2 linked regions of the Canis lupus familiaris genome follow. The protein of the gene in region 2 purifies or fractionates together with the protein of the main gene of each other region. This does not show direct contact. Links are inferred from orthologs where the notes say so. Each region holds a gene or a part of one and is shown on either strand. Other genes may lie near its edges.

Region 1 (5,290 bases), on a different chromosome or scaffold from region 2:
ATAAAGAAAAAATGTAGGCTGTTCAGCCCCTTCAGGGTCGCTGACCTTACTACAATAGGAGCTGCCAAAGGAAAATCCTTGTGAGCAAGAGGTGCTAGAACAGCTCTGGCCTCTTGTGCTCAGCAAAGCACTTTGATTCTCGCCAGACTTGGCAGCCTTAAGAACCCATTTACTTAGATGGCTCTTAGTCCCTCGGGTTCAAGAAGGGTGGCATCAGCTCAGTGCCATGTACCATGTATGCTATATTTCTGCTCCCCACAGAAGGAACAGACAGAGGGGGTGCAGGGCATCAGCAGCAGGAAGGCAGCAGAGACAGGAAACAGAAGGCCAGTAATTGAGCCCATATGTTTCAACAAAGACATGCTTCTGGTAGTGAAACATTCTGCTGAAGAAAGAAGAGAGTGGCCAGCTCCCATGCCCCCTTCTCCGGAAGTTCAATCCCTTTATAATCTGATAGGTACACGCAATTGTGTGTACACAGCATGTACAACTGTGCTGAGATATCGAGCACACAGTACTTACTGAAAAGAAGCAGAAAGAGAGGGCAAGCTACCAGTAAAAGGAGCAAGGCCAGGAAAACATTTTGGGGGAAAAAAATGAAAGGTTTAGTAGAGGGTACAAAAACAGGCTGTAAGAATATTTGCCAGGCAGAAGAGTACATGTTACTGTAATACTAAAACCACTGGGGGAGATGAGACATAACACAGGAGCTGGCAGAGGGAGAAGGGCCAACCACGGAGCACTGGAATGTGCATCCAGGGGAGCCGAGTGAGGCCAAAGCGCAGCATCAGGCTCTTGGAGGTAAAAGGTTGCCCACAATCTTTTGCCAGAAGTTGAGCTCAGGTATGAGCTGTTGTCTTTGGACTCGAGATTCTAGGCAGAGAAGCCCTAGCCCTTGTCTGCTTCTCACCTGCATTCATGTCTATGAGTTGCTCTCTCTTCTGTTGCTTCTCGAGCCGCTCCTTCTCTGCCTTCTCCTTGGCTAGTTTCGCTCGCCGCATCTTTTCCTCTGTCTCCCGCCGCTTCTGGTTTTCCTTCACTGCTTGCTGTGGAGGGAAACACAACAAAACACGTGGGCGTGTATACACTTATACATACATGCACCCAATACCCACCCTGTGAACCCAACCAACGTGAAAAGTGAGAAATGTCCACAAAAGATTCCATCGGCAGGAGTCCCTGGCTCACCATAAACATATTCTTAAAGTTGTGTAGATCCATGAAGAATTCTTCCACAGTCACCTTCTTGGGGTCAAAGAGGAAGTACTCTCCCAGCTCCTTATAGAGGGTCTCCATGTTGCAGTGCATCATCCGCAGCTTGTTATACTGCTCCTGCGCGTCCTTCACAAAGCTGTGCGGCCAGGAAGTCAAGGCCCAGGGCTGGAAAGCAGACCCACTTCTCTAGCCCCGAGGAACCCTCAGAGATGCACACTGCCACACCCGAAGATATGCAGTACAGCAGTGTTTGTAAGAGCAAAAGCGAGAGGCAATCTAAATACCCTAAACAGGGGAATGGTCAACCATAAACCATGGTCCACCTACAGAAGAGGAGGTTTTGCATACCCTGCTGTGGAGCCAGGGCTAAGAAACAGTATGTGCAATAAGCAATCCAACACAGTTTTTGTTTAAAATAAACTCATGAGTTGAGAATCAGGAGCCCAGCCACAGAGGTTACCTTTGAAAGGGGAAAGAGAAGAGAATGTGTGTGTGTGTGTGTGTGTGTGTGTGTATGGTGGAGATGGGACAGAGAGTCAGGGATCAGCAAGGAATTTGAGTCTAGCTGCATGACGTCCTGACCACAACAGTGAGAATGCTTTCAAGAACTATATATTTAATGAAAAGAGGTTTTTTTTTTTTTTTTAATATATTTTTAAAGAAGGAAAAAAACTGTCTATCACCAGAACTATCCTGCTGTCCTCCCCCTAGGAAGCTTTCTTTCCCTGCCTAGGATGCAATTCCCTCCTTGTAAGAAAGGATATAGTCATTTTTTCAACAAACTTGTCTCTCTCATCTGTGGCAGCTGGGAAATTCTGAACATCACGTTCCACATCAGAAATTTGTTTCTTCATCTGATCTAGGTTCTTTTGCAAGTTTTCAGCAGAGACTAAAGGAAACACAAAAACAGAAAGCAAGAGTTTATTTCCAGTTCCAAGACGATCAGCATCTGCTCTTCCAGGCACAGCGTCAGTACACACAGAGCTGTACCTCATGACTTTAGCTCTGGCGTTCTCTCCTTTAGATGTTTCACACATTGCAGTTTTTATCTTTCCAGTTAAATCATACATAAATTACTTGATGACTGAAACCTACAGCCTCCACAAGAAGAGAGGCTTCATTTAATTTAATAAGAACCTGTGATCTTGGTCTCCTTTAGAGAGCAGAGTTTGGGAGGAAGGAGCTATACAGAGAAATACAGAAGGGCAGAAATCTGTTCCCGTTTCTACTAAATGCTGTTTTTTGTGTGCCTCGATCAGGATGGTAAGGCCTGATTTTTGTTAATCTAGTCCATGCTTTTTTTTTTTTTTTTTTTTAAATTCCATGCTTTCTGAATAAAAAGAACTGCTGATCTAGACTAAAAACACCTACCTTTCTTACAGTTCTTTTTTAGTGTTTGGTGTTTCCCTCAGAAGGGAAAAGTGTTTTCCAGTTCTATACATGAAGACCTCCCTTCTGCCTGATAATCCTCTCCTCTGTGGCTTTGACATCAGGCCTACACCTCTCCCATTCCCACCTAAAATAGGCAGAACTGAAAATTATCTAAGATCTAGACTGTGTCTTATTTCCATCCTAATGCAGAGATTTTGGGGGCCTGGAACAGCCTTCTAGTTTCGCCCCAACCTGCCCCACCTCGGCTGGCTTTCTCCACATGGGCAAGCTCATCTGGAAACTTCAGGACATCAGGATAGTCATTCTCACACAACTCAGCTAAGAAGTGCAACAATGTCATCTTCTGATCTGTGGACTTGGTGTCTCGAAGCTGGGGCGGGGTGGAGGGGAGAAGAGGAGTAACTTGTTAGTCTGGACATGCCCAAGACCTGAGGCCCATAGCAGTTTGCCACACTGTACTCATAGAGGCCAGCTGCCTTCCCTTCTGTTGTTCTGCTCTAACCACCTGGCTCACCTTACAGAGGAAGCTGATGTTGAAGCCAAAAGCACCAGCATTTCTGGAGCCAGCATTCATATAGTTTCCCACGAGCAAGGTGATCTCCAGAAGGCTAGAGAAGCTCTCACTCTTACGTAATTCCTCACATGCGGCAGTCACAGAAACAATCTCTGGCTTAATATTCTCCACTTGCTCACTAAACTGTAGCTTGAAGAGGATGGCATTGAGGCGAGGCTGCAGGCGGGGCACAGTGCCCATCTGGTGGGGAAGACAAACAGTTCCAGGATAGCCAGCAGGGAGAGGGCAGATCAAGAGAAACATACAGGCTTGAGTCTCGTATGGGAGGCTGGGAGTTCAGAGTACTGCGCAGAGAGAGACAAGTTCAAAACAGACAGGAGGGGAGGAACAAGTGCCCTGGCTGCTCCAGGAGAAGGAGCGGGCGACAGAGTCAGAGAAGAGCTTATTGCCACAGGCCTTACTCACCACCACACCAAACTGCTCTGACTCAGCTAGGTCATCATATTCATCTTTCAGTTCGGAAAGCATTTTTAACTGCTCTGGCTCTGGCATTTGCTTAATGAGGTTCTGAAAGAGAGAAGGGACTGTGTCATATGCCTTTGTGTCATGTGACAGCTTGAGCCTCTTGTCAGTCTCCCACTCTGCCCAAAGACCACAAAGAAGGAAATGGGGTAGGGGCTGGGGGGTTGGCTGAGAGGCAGCTAGTAAGATGGCAGGACTTTTGAAAAATAATACCAGAAATAACCCAACCACTGGAGAGATGGACGCTTACCCAAAGCCAGCATTCTGTAAAGCTACAGTCCTAGAGGACCTCACCCTCTAAACAGATGAGGCTTGTGTATTGTGACATCAAGAGCCAGCTCCTGCAGAACAATCTTGCTCCTTACCTGGATCATAGACTCAGTGAGAACACTCTCGTTCACCTCCAGGATGACATTCTTAATCTCTTGATAGGCCATGCGAAAGGAACCCAGAAAGATGGCTGCCGGAAAATGAGACACAAAGCCATATTCTTCTCTTTCTCCTCTCCCTTCCAGCCTATTCTACAAACCTCTGCTGGACTATATGCCTAAGAGTATTCATTTCAAGTCACTCTAGAAACCTCCACCAGCTCCCCACTGCCTGTGTAGTTAAAATCCAAGTTCTGGAGTCCGGTGTCTCAGATCCCCACCCTCCAGTTTCCTCTCTTATGAAACCCCACACGCCAGCTACACTGCTCCAAGCACCACATTCTACAAACACTGTGGCTCCTGGCCTTCGCTTACACAGGAAGATTTTGATCTTCTCTATCTAGACATATCCAAGATATTCATCCCACTCTATTTTCAGTTCCCCACTCCCATGACTCTATCCTCAAAGCTGCCACTGCCTTCAAATGCTCTGGTTCTTAAATTGCCATCTCTCGTTCCCCAACAAACACTTTCTGTTTCCCAGCTCTCTCACTCACTAGCCTCTACCAACGGCCCCTCAACCTCACCAAAGCAGCACTCGCTTTCTCTGGTGTGAGCGCCAATCGTTCCATTTTCTCCAAAGTTCTACTTTGCTTTCTCTATTCACCCAGAGCCTACAGTCTACAGCTTCGTCCCATCTCAGCCATTACTGACATTTCTATTACTACTATTCCCATTCTTGTTTCCTTCTCCTTCCAGTTCCTGGTCAGTCCAGCCATGTCACCTCTCTCCTTGCACCTGAGTTGATGAACCCTGCTGGCAAAGACTCTGTAGATCACGGTTCATCAATGTGGAGTGGCACCAATGATAGTGGAGGGCTCAGTGCTGCCTAGCAGTCCTTCTGTGCATCCCTGTTCTGTGCTAGGCCCTCCTGGAAGCTCCTCCAAAGTATCCTCATGTCCCACCACTTCCGATTAAAAAAAAAAAAATCTTGTTCCTCTTCACTGAAGAAAAAAACAAACTTGAAGCCACTGGTCAAATTACTTCCTAAGCATTCTTTTATGCACTGGGGGCTCTCAGCCAGAGCCAAGCCAGAAAAGGCTTGGGTAAGGACTATTTGGGATTATCCAGAAGAAAACTTGTGCCAACATTTATGTAAGCTTATCAGCAACTATACCCATGTACTCATCTTTTTCTTCTATTTCAATAGAACAGGTGGCCCTGAGGACCAGGGCCTTCAGCATATACACATAATCAAGTTTCTACTATCTTAAAAACA
Region 2 (5,290 bases):
AAGAGTTCAGATATACAGATAAGCCAATTTTTAAAAATCCTTTTCTTACAGTATTCTAAAGGCTTTTAAAGCATTATATAAATCTTCAAAATTCCTATCACCCACATTTCAAGAAATAAATGTACACTTTAATAAGGCACTCTTACAACATAAAACAGATTTGAGGACAATCATTTTACGTATGCTAGGGCTGGCCCCTCCTTTTGCCACGGGGACAGAGTGGACTGCCTTCCTGAACATAGCCCCCTTCTGTGCATCAATACATACAAGCAGGCACCGCAGACCACTGCAAACCTGCCTACATAGCTGGGTTTATTGATGGGACTCTCCCTCCCGCTGATGAGAGAACTACACCAACAGTACTGCTCAAATTTAATGGTGACATTTTATTTTATTTATTTTTTAATGGTAACATTTTATTTTATTTTTTAAAAAGATTTTATTTATCTATTCATGAGAGACAGAGAGAGGCAGAGACACAGGCAGAGGGAGAAGCAGGCCCCATGCAGGAAGCCCGACGTGGGACTCAATCCCGGGTCTCGAGGATCCTGCGCTGGGCCAAAGGTGCCGCTAAACTGCTAAGCCACCCGGGCTGCCCTAATGGTAACATTTTATTTTTTTTTATTTTATTTTTTTTTTTTAAAGATTTTATTTATTTATTCATGACAGAGAGAGAGAGAGAGAGAGAGAGAGAGAGAGAGAGAGAGGCAGAGATACAGACAGAGGGAGAAGCAGGCTCCATGCAGGGAGCCCGATGTGGGACTCGATCCTGAGTCTCAGGATCACACCCCAGGCTGCAGGCGGCGCCAAACCACTGCGCCACGGGGGCTGCCCTAATGGTAACATTTTAAAACTGTGTCTCCCCTTTGCTAGAAATGTTTCTTTGAACACAGAGCACTGACTTCTGTTAGCTCCTGCTTATAAAGGAAAACAGTGGAAGAGAACCAATGAGCCCCTGGATCCTTCCATTTGACCGATGGGATGGAAACGTAAAGGAATTTCACCTTCAAATGACAACTGAATGCCAGGAGATGACCTGACTTGTGAGTTGTGTGCCTTATGTGCATGTGTTATTCGTGTTGATAGATCCTACTTCCAAGTAACAAGAATTCAAGCCCCACCATCCCTGTTGCTAATTTAAACACCAAAGCTTACAATAGAGTAATGCAGCCTCTAAGACCATAACAACAGAGATTTTAGTGGAGCCTCCACTCTTTCCTAAGTGACGGAAGAAAATGAGGGGACAAGAGGGTCGGACAGCCTGAAATACAGTTTCACTATGAAGAAAGGGCAATAGACATCCCATCAGAGTGGGAGGGTTAAAAACGTGGCGTTGGGAGTGTATCAAGTTGAGGCTTTTTTGTGGCCTGGGTCTTTGCTTCCAATGAGTAAAGAAGGACCCAAGAAAGGTCACCGTGAGGAGCTTCTTTCCTTCATCCTTCTGGTCTGGTGGCAATGGATCAATTACTTCCCGTAGAACTTTTTGTTGAGGAGGAAGATCAGAAGGTTGACATTTACTTTAGCTCTATTAAATAATTTCATGACTGCGACTCCTTCATACTGTAGCTGCAGCAGGTCCTATAAAAACAACATTTTACAGTCAAACAAGTCTGTGGAATAAGAAAGGACATGATGTAGGGAGGGATCCAGAAGGAACAAGGAATGACAAATGTGAAGTGGTGTGAAAAAGAGGTGCCCAACCACAGAACGGTCCACTGCACAACCACCCTGAGACTCAAGGAATGGGACATGCTGCTCAACAGAATATTCTGGTACATCTGTATATCAAAATACACAAAACATGGAAAGAAAAAGCAGCATGTTCACTCATCACACATACTTCCTATTTCAGAGCTGACAATAACGTGTCTCCAGTTTGTCTAAGTGATGGGTCACCTGGGGAAGGGGGAGGCATTTCAATCTATGATAAAATATACTAATCACTGAAGACAGGATACAGCCACTAACGTCATCTCAATAGTATCCACTAGAGTCTTACTTTTTATTTCACGTGAGAAAATTTCTATATTTTGAAGGCAAGGGGAAGAAGGACAAAATGTTTATTAGGTGCCTCCAGTGTGCTCAACATTGGGTAGGCACATCAGATAGTGTCTTTTTAAGTCCTGATAAAAGTCCTATAGGTGTGATTATCCCGAGTTTAAAGATGAGGCTCAGAGATATTCAGAGTGGCATGGAGTGGATCTGGATCTGGATCTAGAGCCCCTGCTTCTCCCATTGCCCTCTACTGTCCAGAGCACATTTAGGAAGTGAGTAGTCTTGCACATGAACTTCAGAAGAGACAGAATGAGTCAAGGCACTTGAAAGAACCCAAAGTTCAAACAATGCAACTTCTGGAAAAATTCTAGCAGCTCCATGAGAACGAAGGCCCTGGTGTGTCACCTGTGCCTGACAGAACACCTGCACCTGATCCTCATTCTATATTTAATGCGCCTGTGCACGGATCAACATGCTACCGAGGCAGGCTGGTCGGCCTGTGCAACGCTGGTGAGACTAAAGACGTGACAGGATCTTTTTTTTTGGGTGTAAGCACCTGAGCATGTGCATCACAGAATCACTTCACTTTTGTTCAGCTAACATGTTTGAAGGTCTACTCATCACTAAGGAGGAAATGAAGACACACTACCGTGGGTCCTTAAGGAGCTCACGGTCTGGCAGGCATGTGTGCAGGAATAAATGAGAGGGCTGGGGGGTGGGCAGCAGGTGCAGAAGCCCAGCACACGTTCAGAGATGGCCCCTGCCCAGGCCCACAGAGCACAGCAGTGAGATGCAGTACAAGGAATGGGACAGAAGTGATGAGGACACACACGGAGCTGTGGAGCCTGGACAGAGCCCAGGAGGCCTTGTGGTACCCTGGTGCTTTTCTACTGCGTAAAGACTAGAAATATTTTGGAATAAAAAATAGGTTAAATTATGTTATAAATGATTCACTGCAGAGTTCTTCCCGAATTTAAAATGGGATTCAGTTTACAAAGATGCAATTTATACACATCTTGTCAGAAATACACTTTTAAGTCCCCAAAATCAAATCAAAATGAGAAAAGATTTCAAGCTATTGAATAGGTTTACAATTTTCTACTATCATTACTTAAACATTTTGTTCAACGTCAAGGTACCAGTTCAATTTAGTGCCAACACTAAGTAGTAGCTTCAGATAAAAGCTTTCAGAAGACGTCCAGATCTGCCCAAGCTCTCCAGGGAGTACAGACCAAGTCAGATGCACAGCAGCCCTCAGCTCCTTTCCCGCCTGTGTGGGCGCTGGCTCAATGCAGGGTGATCCAAACATGTGTCTTTTTTACCTACTGTCCACCCCAAAAAGAACACAACCACATCACATATAAAGTTTTCAGTTCTGTATGGTGCATACCCACCTGATAATGCAACATAAATGTCTCCATTTGAACACCCATGAACTTGGCTTTCACTTCAAAGTCTCCAACTTCTTCTGTTGGACTGATTTCAAAGATAACATTTTTAAACCTGTTGAAACATAACATCATAAGGGTGTGATTTTTTTCATTCTCATATAAAAATATTCTGTGAAATGTAGAAAGAATATTAACAATCTTCAAGGGGTGCCTGGGTGGCTCAGTTTGTGAAGCATCTGCCTTTGGCTCAGGTCAAGATCCTAGAGTCCTGGGATTAAGCCCCACGTGGGGCTCCCTGTTCAGCGGGGAGTCTGCTCCTGCCTCTCCCTCTGCTCCTCCTCCCACTTGCGCTCTCCCTCTCTCTTTCTCAAATAAACATATAAAATCTTAAAAAGAACAAAACAATCTTTCTTCAAGAGTGAAAAGGGGTACCAAATAAAGGCCCAAAACACTTCTACAGGTAGAACAGTGTGTGGCTACTACTCTAACTACCACATGCTCGGAGACTTGGGGAGAGCCGGGAACCTCTCCCTGCAGCCCTTGCATGCTGTGGGAAGAGGGACCATGGAGGAATGCCACCCTCTGAAAGGATGATGTCACAGGAATTCTCTTGGCTTTCCCCGTGGCCACTGCTTAAATCCAATGGTAAAAGGATAATCAAGGGGAAACTAGACTGGAAGGAGAGGGAGGAAAGGATGAATGCATGTTTGAGGATTGTAAGAAGTGTGTAAGTAAACAAAAAGGGGTCAGAACAAAAAGCCATGAGAGGGGGTGCCATAGATACAAATGCACTCAGTACCAAGTACCACCAAAGATACATTGCTATTTACCAAGAGTATTTAAGGTATTACTCATTCTCAATATGTTATAAGCCCAGAAACTTCAGTGGGGATATGTTATTCCCTGAGTGATCAAAGCCTGTTGGTCCAGACTTCTAGAATTCAATTATAGAACAGAGCCAAGAACCATGAATGATATAAAACAGGCCACAGAGAAGCTATGAGAGAGGTCACAAAATCCACACACTAGAACATTCACATCTTACTCAACAGGAGGTCCTCACAGGTCATTCCTTAAAGAGACTTTCTGTGATGATTTTATTTGAATCAGTTTGCTTTGTTATCTGGTTTCTAAGCCTCTAGTAGAAATTAAAAGAAGCCCCCCCCCCCCAAAAAAAGGATGGCATTTAAACAATAGAAAATAATGACAAAAAGAAGGGAAGAGATAATAAATATGAGACCCGTAAAGTGCATTAACTGCTCTACATAAAAACCCCAAAAATGATTGGAGAAAATACAGATAATAAGCCATGATTCACACACACACACTTATACACACACACTCAACCAGCGTACTACTTCAGGGATATATATACAAGTTAAACTTTTTTAAGCTGCTATTTAAAACAGTATGGCAGTTCCTCAAAAACTTGAAAACTATCATATGATCCAGCAATCCCACTTTAGGGTATATATTCCAAAGAACTAAAAACAGGATCCCAAAGAGATATTTACACTTCCATGCATTCATTCCTCACAAGAGCCAAGAGTGGCAAGAAATCCAAATGGACACTGATGAATACACAAACACAATGTGGTACATATACATACAGTGGAATATTATTCAGCCTAAAAAAGAAAGAAATCTGTCCCATGCTACAACATGGATGAACCAAGTGAAATAAGCCAAGTCATGAAAAGACAAGTGCTGTAGGATTCCACTTACTTGAGGTGCCTAGAGGAGTCAAATACATAAAAACAGGGAGTAGATTGGGTTGCCAGGCTTGGGGAGAGGGAGAGGGAAATGCAGAGCTGTTGTTTAACAGGTATAGTTTATTTGGTAAGATGAAAAGGTTCTGGACATCTGTCGCATAACAAGGTGAATATACTCAAAACTACTAAGCT

The links.
Region 1: the proteins of IQGAP1 (region 2) and DIAPH1 purify together in Homo sapiens (affinity purification with western blotting; 3 studies listed by BioGRID and IntAct, with this or other methods). This does not show direct contact. The link is inferred for Canis lupus familiaris from reciprocal best matches to the Homo sapiens genes IQGAP1 and DIAPH1.

The regions. Positions count from the first base shown.
Region 1 is NC_049223.1:35,640,690-35,645,979, forward strand, and holds part of DIAPH1 (protein diaphanous homolog 1), read right to left. Parts: intron 4,104-5,290; coding exon 4,009-4,103; intron 3,689-4,008; coding exon 3,587-3,688; intron 3,362-3,586; coding exon 3,122-3,361; intron 2,978-3,121; coding exon 2,848-2,977; intron 2,105-2,847; coding exon 1,980-2,104; intron 1,354-1,979; coding exon 1,189-1,353; intron 1,047-1,188; coding exon 911-1,046; intron 1-910. UniProt on the Homo sapiens protein: Actin nucleation and elongation factor required for the assembly of F-actin structures, such as actin cables and stress fibers. Binds to the barbed end of the actin filament and slows down actin polymerization and depolymerization.
Region 2 is NC_049224.1:54,169,826-54,175,115, forward strand, and holds the end of IQGAP1 (ras GTPase-activating-like protein IQGAP1), read right to left. Parts: intron 3,499-5,290; coding exon 3,390-3,498; intron 1,579-3,389; coding exon 1,465-1,578; 3' UTR 682-1,464; downstream 1-681. UniProt on the Homo sapiens protein: Plays a crucial role in regulating the dynamics and assembly of the actin cytoskeleton.